Regions from separate parts of the Mus musculus genome. Here region 1 is reported to be linked to region 2. Evidence: microRNA targets listed by miRTarBase, many of them from high-throughput screens and not tested one by one. Region 2 holds a microRNA gene; the other region holds the end of a gene's coding sequence.

The links. The annotated mature microRNA mmu-miR-412-3p reads UUCACCUGGUCCACUAGCCG and lies in region 2 at 1,996-2,015, opposite strand. An mRNA with a match to its seed (bases 2 to 7 or 8) in the 3' UTR can be bound and repressed. Matches are read on the target gene's strand: a 7mer-m8 pairs with bases 2 to 8, a 7mer-A1 pairs with bases 2 to 7 and ends in A, and an 8mer does both.
Region 1: the mRNA of Lmbrd1 is a reported target of mmu-miR-412-3p. Seed matches in the 3' UTR shown: 7mer-A1 at 3,317-3,323 and 8mer at 4,075-4,082.

What each region holds. Positions count from the first base shown.
Region 1 is chr1:24,761,766-24,766,901 of GRCm38, forward strand. It overlaps Lmbrd1 (LMBR1 domain containing 1), which reads left to right. Exons shown (of 16, transcript NM_026719.2): 15 at 427-518; 16 at 858-4,536. The coding sequence ends at 971. Among named protein-coding and RNA genes, the nearest start is that of Lmbrd1, 86 kb to the left of the region's middle.
Region 2 is chr12:109,740,048-109,745,354 of GRCm38, reverse strand. It overlaps Mir412 (microRNA 412), which reads right to left and starts at 2,066; the gene lies at 1,987-2,066. Mirg (miRNA containing gene) reads right to left here. Exons shown (of 8, transcript NR_028265.1): 3 at 3,540-3,665; 4 at 3,065-3,293; 5 at 1,937-1,998; 6 at 1,508-1,689. It overlaps Mir377 (microRNA 377), which reads right to left and starts at 4,845; the gene lies at 4,778-4,845. It overlaps Mir541 (microRNA 541), which reads right to left and starts at 2,946; the gene lies at 2,857-2,946. It also overlaps Mir409, Mir369 and Mir410.

The sequences.
Region 1 (5,136 bases), not on the chromosome of region 2:
ATGCCCTGAGGTGCTGTCGAACTCATCAAATCCTTTCAAGGGTGAGCTATCCTGAGATTCAGTTTCCTTACAAAGTGCCACGTCTCCACTTAGTAGGCATGATGACTCTTTCCGTTTTTTTCTTGGCAGGAAAGCCTTGTTTTCTGTCTTGTTTATCTGTCTGGGACTCCGTATTGTACTTACTTTTCTAGTTCAAAGAAGTTGAACTGGCCAATAAATAAAACTTTTACTTTTGGTATCAAAATTCTAATATTGACACTCATTTTATTTCATAATATGTCATAATAGTTGATAGCTTAATGCTGGCTCTGACTGAAAGCAGTCATGGGAGAAGGCGCAGAGCTGATCGTTTGCATAACATATCAACTGAGCCATTGCTTTATGAAAGAAACAGCTTGAACATAATTGTTTATTTGCTCTCTTTAGATCAGTGTACTGTTACCCGAACATACATTTTCCTCCACAAGTTCTGGTTCTTCAGTGCTGCATACTATTTTGGTAACTGGGCCTTTCTCGTGGTAAGTCTATGAAGCCAAACATGACTTGGCCTTCCTTTAACACAATTAAGTGCATGCTTGTATGTATGTCAGTTTTCTGCCTGAATCTTATTACTGTCGCTGAATGGTTTTGAGAGGTGCCCTTGATATGTATGTGAGTGAATGCCACATGTGTGCAGGTACCCATGGTGCCCAGAAGGGAATCAGAGTTCCGGGAGATGATGTTAGGGGAGTTCGCTAGCTGCCCCAAGTGACAAGTCTTAGCGATTGTGTCACACACACTCTTTACTCCAGCTGCTGAGTTGGCACTGTGTTGCATAATGTTTACATTTCAGTAACACTGCTTATTTGAATTTAAAGGTGTTCTTGATCGGATTAATTGTATCCTGCTGTAAAGGGAAGAAGTCAGTCATAGAAGGAGTGGATGAAGATTCGGACTTAAGTGATGATGAGCCGTCTGCCTACTCTGCGTGAACGGCCTTCTGTCCTAAGGGCTTAATGAAGCTGGCTGAATATCTATTATGCGTTTTCAAAAGTTTAAAGTAACATTAAAATGAACTGTCTAGCTTTCATCAAAAATGAGAGCATGGCCATTAAAAAGTACTATATTTTTTATGTTTCCTGAAGTAGCATTATTGTATCATAGATTAACATTTAAAATTGCTATAATACTGTGTAAATACAGAGTTTCCAGGTTTGTGAGGGAATGTTTGTGGAAATTTTCTTTATTGTAAAATAGTGTTAAATTTATTAAAATCTTACACAATATACATTCCCTTTGTTGCTTTTAAGAAACATAAGAAGTCACTTTGTCTTGTGCCTTAGGGTCTCTGGAATAATGTGAAACTTTTAAGTAGCTTCCGCTGATTGGCTAAACAATGTCTCAGTATTGCTTGTGGGTAAGCATAACTCATGGGCAGCTTGCTTTCAATTCTGCCCATAACATAATGAGTCTAACTCAAGTAGAGTTCGTGAAAAAGTGTTAAACTGCCTAAAACCACAAGACTCTAAGATGTGTTCCAGGTGGCAGTGTTCAGATCTTAATCCATGGAGTACCTCTACAAGAATATGTAGATAAAATTTGTTTTATAGAAGGCTTTGAAACTTGGAAGGTCATAAATGGAAATGTCAAGAATGAATGCTGAAGACTGAGCTTACTAAGCGTGGTAGGTCACGTGACAGCATACTCAGCTGCTTCTCATGTAAAGGATTTGGAAACCTGTGAAAGAAAATGAAAGTTGTGTGACTTAACAGAGTTTTCTGACTGCGTTCTGGGCAGTGAAAATAAAGGCTTAATTCGCTAATGTCAGCTAGGACTTATTCAAAAGTATTTACCGGGATGCTTGAAGTAAAAGATCTGTATGGCTCAGGAGAAGACCTAAGAGTTAACTCGTCTGCCCCTGAATCTTCGGCCCAAGTTCTGACTGTACTTGCTGCTCTGATTGATTCCCTGCCTCACCTGAGAAGCTTCTAGAACCTGCTAGGAGACTTGGCTTCTGTTCCCACTCTTATGTGATTCACCGGGATGCCGATCCCTTCTGCTCCTAGTTCACGTTTTGGGGGTGTGGGTCAGTCCCTTGGCCTCCCCCTGCATCCCGACCCTGTACTCTTGCTTGTCTGTAAGCTCCGTTACTGCTTCAGTTGCAACACTAAGCCTCTCTGCTGTTTGTTTATAGCAAAAGGCCTGGCCTGTCAGTATTAGGCTCCCATATTGTGCCCACCAAAAATCAAGACCGCCTTATATATGAAGCCCATCATGAAGTTGTGTTGGTTTTTTTCTGCCTATCTTTTCTTTACTCTGTCCTCTCTTCTATCTACTTGGTGCCACTTACCCTGTTAGAATATATCCTTCCAAAGTCACATGTTGAAGTCCTCACTCTAGCTGGAGAAATGGCTCAGCAGTTAAGAGCACTGGCTGCTCTTCAGAGGTCCTGAATTCAAATGCCAGCAACCACTTGTGATGGGATATGATGCCATTTTATGGTGTTTCTAAAGTCAGGGCACTCATATATATAAAATAAATAAATTTAAACAAAGAAAGGTAATCTAGGTAAGATTAGGCCGTTGAGTGGATCCCTCCTAGAGATGTCTGGGCTCTGCAGGCAGCTTGGGGACGAAGTCATGGAAGGACACAGAAAAAGGCAATCTATAAGCCAAAGAAAGAGACCTCTAGAAGCCAGCTCTGCCAGCACTTTGCCTGTCAACATCTGGCTTCCATAGCTGTTGGATAATACATTTTCACTTGACAACCCATTGAGTCCATGGTGTTTGCCATTGAGCCAAGGCAACTAACTAACACACGCTGCCTCCTAAACTTCCTCACTACCTGTGCTTCCAAGTCCTGACTCCTCTCAGCTTTTTCTTGACATTTAAAACAGAAATGGAATTAGTTCATTGCTTCGCTGTGAAAGGCTTTCACTTATTTTAAAATGAAACCCGTAAGCCCCTGCATGGTATTTAAGGCCGTTCTGATGTTTTATTTGCTTGCAGGGCTCTTGGCCATTTCCTCTGTATTTACATGAGTGATTCCTCATAGCCGTACTTGAATGGTTCCTTCTGCATACTTGAATGCCCAGGCAGCCTTTCCCCTAAGGAAATTCTTTATCAACCCTTGGGCTTGGGGTTATGTTGCTCCTCTAAGGGCTGGAGGAGAGAAGATGCTGGCTCTTGGCTGTTTGTGTGGACCATGACAGGACAGCGGATGGTGACTGACTGCTTCCATGTGCACCTGCACATTGCAAAGGTTTTCTGACTTTGTTCTTGGGAACCAGAATAACTCGTAGAGAATACTCGTAGAATAACATGTAGAGAGTACTAATAGGTGAATTTGCTAATTTGAAGCTATAAACATGTCTACATTGGTTAAGCCTACATAAACTATACTTTTATCAAAGTATCAGGAGGCATATATATCTTTTGAGACTTTTTTTGCTATCTAATAAGTTTAGAAATATCCTAATTATTCTATATACTTACGATAGGATTTTTTTTTGTTAGACCAACTTCTTAGCTTACCATGGTACTCTTTATTGTTTAAACAAGAAAATTTTAAATATATATTTTGCTCCTTTCATTTCCTGAGTGTTAAGAAGCCTACTTTATTCAAATGCTACTTTGTCCCCCTTTTGGTGTAATGAAATGTGTTGGACTTTATATTTCCATAAAGCTGACTTCTAAGTGTCACGACTTCGACTAATGAACAGCTTCTCTCCTTTGAAGTCTTCACAGAAATGCCTAAATTAGAGATCATTCAGAGCATTGGCTTTCCAAAGACTGAGGGCCCTCATGTCCCATGTCGACTTCAAAGTGATCAATTTATGTAGCCATGAATCGGAAATGAGAAGCCTGGAACCAGCTTCTAGCCAGCTCAGGGCTGCTGCAGCAAAGGAAGTTTAAAAAGGAAACAAAACAACAACAACAACAACAAAACCCTTACTGTGCAGGTAAAAAACTGGTTAGGAGCTCCAAGGAGAAAAAAAAAATAAAGTAGCAATGTTTTCATGAACCTACAAGATAGATCAGCAGTGGCTCGGGGCGTGGTGGCACGCCTTTAATCCCAGCACTTGGGAGGCAGAGGCAGGTGAATTTCTGAGTTCAAGGCCAGCCTGGTCTACAGAGTGAGTTCCAGGACAGCCAGGGCTACACAGAGAAACCCTGTCCCGAAAAAACTAAAAAAAAAAAAAAAAAAAAAAAAAAAGATCAGTAGGTAGTTTGCACACAGGCCTTCCCATCTGAGTCCCATCTCAGTCTCCCAAGGAGAACAGGCCAGAGAGACCTGGATCTCAGAGGACCCAGAGAGAACAAGCTCCTGAGACTGGTCCCTGACCTGCCTATGCCTGCACTCCCACATATGCAGCATAAACTAATAGTGTTTTCTGGTGTACTACTAAGGTCTTATGAATGTTACATATTTAAAGTAATGTACTGATTTAGAAACAATCTACAGACACAGCACACTTGATGTTGGCCACTTTGTCATCTTTCTGTCACTATGACAAAACAAAATCATATTAAAAGGAACTTTGGTTCCCAAATGCAAGTGTTTGAGTTGATGTTTTCCTTGCCCCCAACCTTTTTGTGAGGCCAAATGACATGGTAGGGATCAGACAGTGGGTAAAATACCTTGTGTTCCAGTAGCAGTGAGAGTGTGGGGTTCCAGTGTCCCATTCCAGAGCACACACCACATGAAATGAACTCCTTCCACTAGGTCTCAGCTCCTAAAGGTTTCACCATCGCTTAACAGTGCCACAGGCTAGCAACCGAAACTGATACTTAAGATAATAAGCAGGTAAAATGATGGTTGGTTTAAAAAGCAGGGGGCGGGGGAGAGAAGACCTTAGCTGCGGGACCATGGGTGTAGGGAGGGAAGGGGGAGGAAGAGAGCCCGCATCCGGACAGAGTTCCAGTGCTCTGGGCAAGGGGATGCAGGAGGACTGCTGGACACTTTGCATGCAGCCCCGGGAGGGCATCTGGCTGTGTAAAGCCACTGACCCCACATGGTGGGGGGTGGACAAAGGGCAGCCCCTGGTACCAGGTTTTCAGTCTCTGGTATCCCACACTGGATAGGAGCTGAGAACAGAATAGGGGTCCCAGGGCGACACTAGGCCCTGGAGATAAGGGAAGCGGGCAGAGGGAGAAG
Region 2 (5,307 bases):
CAGGACCAACTCCCAGAGAGAGGGCGCCTGGGCAGACCATCCTGAACAAGAGAAGAAATCTAAAGGAGACCATGTGCTAGGTACAAGCCAGGGTGCGCAGCCACTATCTCTGTTGGAAGAGCATTTTGCTGCTGAGGAGGCCCAGAAGAGGAGAAAAAGCATGCAGGGTGGAGTTGCCAGGGTGAGGGTGCTACTTGCTCCAATGGGGAGCAAGCCCAATCAGAAAGAGCTCTTTGCCACCCTGGGGAGCCTTACTAAATACCAAAAATCTATAGCCTGTCTTTCAAAGGCTCCTACTGGGTGTGATCAGGTACTTTCTGGGGTCCTTGAGACTCTAGGTCAAGCCTCTACAGTAAGCTCACAGGAGTCTGACAGAGCCAGAGTGTTAAGTTGGAGGAAACATGAAGAAGTGCAGGCTACATTGGACACGCAGACTTTGTGTGCCCCGGTACAGGGGAACGCCAGGGCCAAAGGGGGGGAGTGGGTGGGTAGGGGAGTGGGGGTGGGTGGGTAAGGGGGACTTTTGGTATAGCATTGGAAATGTAAATGAGCTAAATACCTAATAAAAAAAAAATGAAAAAAAAAAAAAAAATAAAAAAAAAAAAAAAAAAAAAGAAGTGCAGGCTAATCCCTACTGGGCCCCCTGTGCTCGTGAAGCAGGGACAGAGCTTGGGTATCACTGCCTTGTAGACTCAGGAGGACATTCTGTGCTATTTCCAACAGGGTGGCACTGAGGACAAGACAGGCCAAGGGATGGTCTCACATACAGACTAGAGAGTCAACCAACACAAAGGCTTCAGTTCTTGGCATCAATGCCTCAAAGTAGAAATGGTCTAGGGTAGGACATGGTGCAGAGAAGTAGGCTGTGGGATAGTCATCAGATAGAAAACAAACGTCTCAGAGACAAGCTAGCTCAGGTACCACCAGCACGGACTCTACTTAGGATGCTTCTTCCTCTAAGATGCCCTTCTGGACTTCCCAACCCCCACCTCAGGAGATGTGAGGCTCTGGGTCAGGATGAGTCAGCTACATGCCTGACCATCAGTGGTGTCCAGTGGGTCAGCAAAGTGTGTCCCTCCCCTGACACCCATGCTCACACAGTAAGAGCCAATGATAAAGAGAGGTGACCATGCACTGTACCAGCATTAAGAATGGAAACCCGTCACGGGCAATCTCACCTCAGATACTAGGAACTGCACGTGTAACCAACTGGCCTGGCTCTTCCCTAAGTATCATGCTAGCCCCTCCAAGCCCTCATGGTATTGAGAAGCACCCAGGGTACAGGGCATTTGAGCATGCAGCCCTCGGTGGAAGCCTTAGACAGGGACAAACACCCATTGTTGTGGCGGGAAAGAGGCATGGAAAGTGGACAGCCATCCATTGCACATCTGGCCAATGCTTCGTGGCCCAGCCTACAAGGTTGGTGCGATCCCAGGAGGCTCCTCAGAGCTGAGGTTCAGTGAAGAGGGGGTGACAAGCGTCATACAGAGTCCATGCATTTACCTACCGGGCAGTGGTGTGACACCTGGTATGTACTGCCGAGTGACCGGAGTGGCAGGTGGTATTGAAAACAGGCCATCTGTGTTATATTCGTCATTAATAAAGCGAACTCATCACAGACAACCTCTCCTCAAGTACCCAGTGTTGACCGCAGCAACCCTGGAGCTGGAATCACCACCTGAAGCTGTCCTGGGGGGAAGGGGGGGATTGCATATAAATGGTGAGTAGGGTTGACACAGGCAGCACACAGCCTGTTCCACCCAGCCCAGTTCCCCGCGGAGGCAGCAACCTAGAAGCACCATGCTGTCCCCACCCCCACAGGGGCTGCAACTCCAAGAGCTTCTCCAAGCTGAGCGTTGATACTGAGAAAAGATCAACCATGTATTATTCGAAGTCAGCCAAGCGAATATAACACGGTCGATCTCCCTTCAAGTACCAGCAGAGGTGTTGAGCTGAGGCTGTGACATCCTGGGCGCAGGCTGCAGCGGGCACCGACGGCTAGTGGACCAGGTGAAGTACATTAGAAACAATTACTTTCCAGCTGGTCGACCATCCGTCCCATACCCCAGAGCGAGATGAGTCCATGGTCTTCCCTGAGGTGGCCTCCCTGGAGGGATTTGATACCGAAAAGGGGTTCACCGAGCAACATTCGTCCTCCAGATGCAAAGTTGCTCGGGTAACCTCTCTCCGAGTACCACGGAGAGGCTCGGATGCTCAGAACGAGGCCGATGGCTGAGTTTCCAGAAGAACCATCCTGGAGCCCCTCAGAGATTATAACTCCCCATTCAGTGAGGAGCCACCCTCCACCACGTGAAAGCAATTATTCCATCACCTCCCCAGTGCAATCTACCACCCTTTCACCTTCCAAGAATATCTAAAGCCTTCCCAGACAACCTTGAGACCCAGGTAGCGAGGAGCTGACTCGGGGCAGAAGTGGGTGCAGAACTCTGCTTACTCTATCTCTCCTTTGTAAGCTGGAGATAGGGAGATGCTGAGACCCTGCGCATATACCACACCACCCTCCCAGAGACGATGCCTTCCAGAAGCGAGGAGGCAATGACTGCATCATCCAGAGATGCTCCTCCTTGGGCCCACCCAACCACTGCAGCCCCACGACCCTGGCATCCCCGCCCTGTCACCTGCCCCCTCCCCCCACGGTGATGTCATAGCAAGAACTGCTTGACCATCCAGTCCTATAAACCAAGCAAGTAATGCTTCAAAGATAAACATGGAGGGAGGAGAGAAAGAACAGCGGAAGGAGATCCCGCAGGGTCCCCTTGTGCCAGTGTGTATGGCTGCCCCGCACGAGCACGCCAGGGAGGGCTCTCCAGTAAGGGTCAGGATCCATTGACTTAGGCCATAAGCAGAGTATGGATTCTGTGTTCGCCACTCATTTTAAAACTCTTGGAGTGTGACCAACATCAGAATCCCTTCTCTGATTTTGGCAAGAGTTCACACAGGCTTCTAGCCTTGCTGCAGGGCAGCAAGAGACTGGTCACATGCAGTGTGTCATACGGGGAAAAGACGCCACGGGCAGCTTCATGTAGGTGTTCTGGAAACTGACCTGTGGGACAGAGGCTCTTTCCCCAGCTGGCATCACCTCCTGGAAATGCTCCTAAGAGGCACACAATGGCGATGATGGTGGCTAACGGTAGCTACAAGATCCAGTCAACAGTATGGGGAGGGAAGCTTGTCCAGGTTCTTCCTCCAAGCACTTGTCCTGGAGAGAGCTCCAGCCACTGACCAGTTCCAAGACAATGATGTAGCCTCTGGAGTCCTTTGAGGTAAAGATCCTTTTGGAAAGAGAGCCACCATGAAACCTGGTGCTCATCACACCCCAGATAGTATATTAGACCCTGGATACATCCACTCTAAAATGACCTCCCGTACGGGCCTAGCCCTTCAGCACCAACAATGGGTACGTCTTTAAGCCTAGCCCTGGGAGCTGGCAACATGGAAACCCAAGGAAGGGCAGGCCCTAGAATGTTCCAGGTACCAACTGCTCGGCAAGAGCAGACTCCCCAGAACCAGTGTCTTACCCGGAATGTTTCATGAGGATCGAGGAAAGTGAAGAAGACTGCTCAGTGGGCACGTGCTCTGGCACTGGTACCCAGTCACATCCTCCAGGTGACACCCGCCAGCTTCTGAATACTCCATGAAGCTCTCTGTAAAGGTTTGGGATGGGAAAATAAAGTTTAGCCACATTAAAAAAAAAAACCCACATGGTGACCAGTCCTTCTTATCACCCCACTAGCTCTAGTCTATATCCATAGATTTCCCCATCTCAAACACCACACCCACATTGATTTTCATAAAAAAACATGCATTTCTTTCCTTTTTTTTTTTTTAAAGTAAATTCCATTAAACTAATCCAATTCCCTGTTTAGCTTCCTTGACTGTGCTGTTGGGCCATTTTCATTTCTTTTATTTCCCTTGTTATTTCCTCAAATCATTTTCATTAGGATCAATTCTTTCCCATTTAAAAATCTGAACGAAGATTTGATTCCTCAATGTGCGTTCATCTACCACAAATATTACTGCTCATAGCATCCGCCACTACTGAAGCTGCCCCTTGCGGCTGCCATGTCTACAGAGTACTGTTTCCCCAGGTCAAATGTCGCAGCTCAAATGTTGTCAAGAAAATTGGATTCTTCTGCCAATTTGTAGTCAATTGAACACATTTTCCTCCAAGCTATTCTGGTAGTTTGTGGTGTTATTTTGTGATTATTTTATCACTATTATTTAATGTAAACGGGATGAAATGCTGGTCGCCTCTATTCATTTCCTAACCCATCCAAAAATGGAGAACAAGGTTTGGTGAGCGATGAGGACGAAAGAGAAACAGACAGAGGTGTGTTGAGGGGGTGGGGTGGGAGGGGGGAAAAACAGATGGTATGTGAGCACTCCTGACCCAGTGAGTTGAGGAGAGGAAGGGGGTGGGGAGGGAAGGCTGCCATTGTCCTTGACACTGTCAAAGGACAGAGTTCATTTTGTCAAGGTATCTTCAGAGTAGAGATAGAACAGCGAGTGTGTCTGCAACTAGGGGGGCTAGGTGCTGGTGTGACAAAGAGGATTCAGGCTGAGAAGAGTCAGGGAGTAGATATTGGCATCTCTCCATTGGTTCCTGGGACTACATGTCTGGTCACGTGGCGTTCTGAGCCACACCCCTTCCTGACCATCCCCATATCCACACCTTCCATTCTAGCACATGACATTTGCAGAGACCCCAGAACTTTGTAACGTGTCCCCAATGCCACCCCAAGCAGGCTTTGATACTCAAACAAAAGTTGCCTTTGTGTGATTCAACATCAATAAAGCGAATTCACCAAGGGCAACCTCTGCTCAAGAATCAAACGTCAGCACAGGCCGAGAGTTGAGCAGGGCGCCTCTTCCCCAGGCAGCCCTGCCTCCCTCGGCTCTGGCTCCCTGACTCCCACCCTCTAGGGAGGCTGGCATTACCTCCGATGAGCCCCCAGGTCCAACTGCAAAGCAGACTAGCAATGGACTGACTTGCAGAGTTCTCTCCTGCCTACAGGTGGCCAGAGACTTGTACAGACATCCAGGCTTTGGCCAGAAACTGGTCACTCACCCAGAAGCACACGGACACCAAGTCTGAATCCCAAAGTGTTTCTCCTAGAGAAGTCCTGAGGTAGGTTTGACATAGAAGAAACCATGACTCTCTGTGTAGTAGGGTCCATCCTGCCCACCAATGAAGGCTGACCTAAAAGAGGATAACTCCCTTTCCAAGGCAGTATCCTGAGAGACCGCACAGACAAACCAGCAGCATCAGGGTACAAGGTGTCTGCA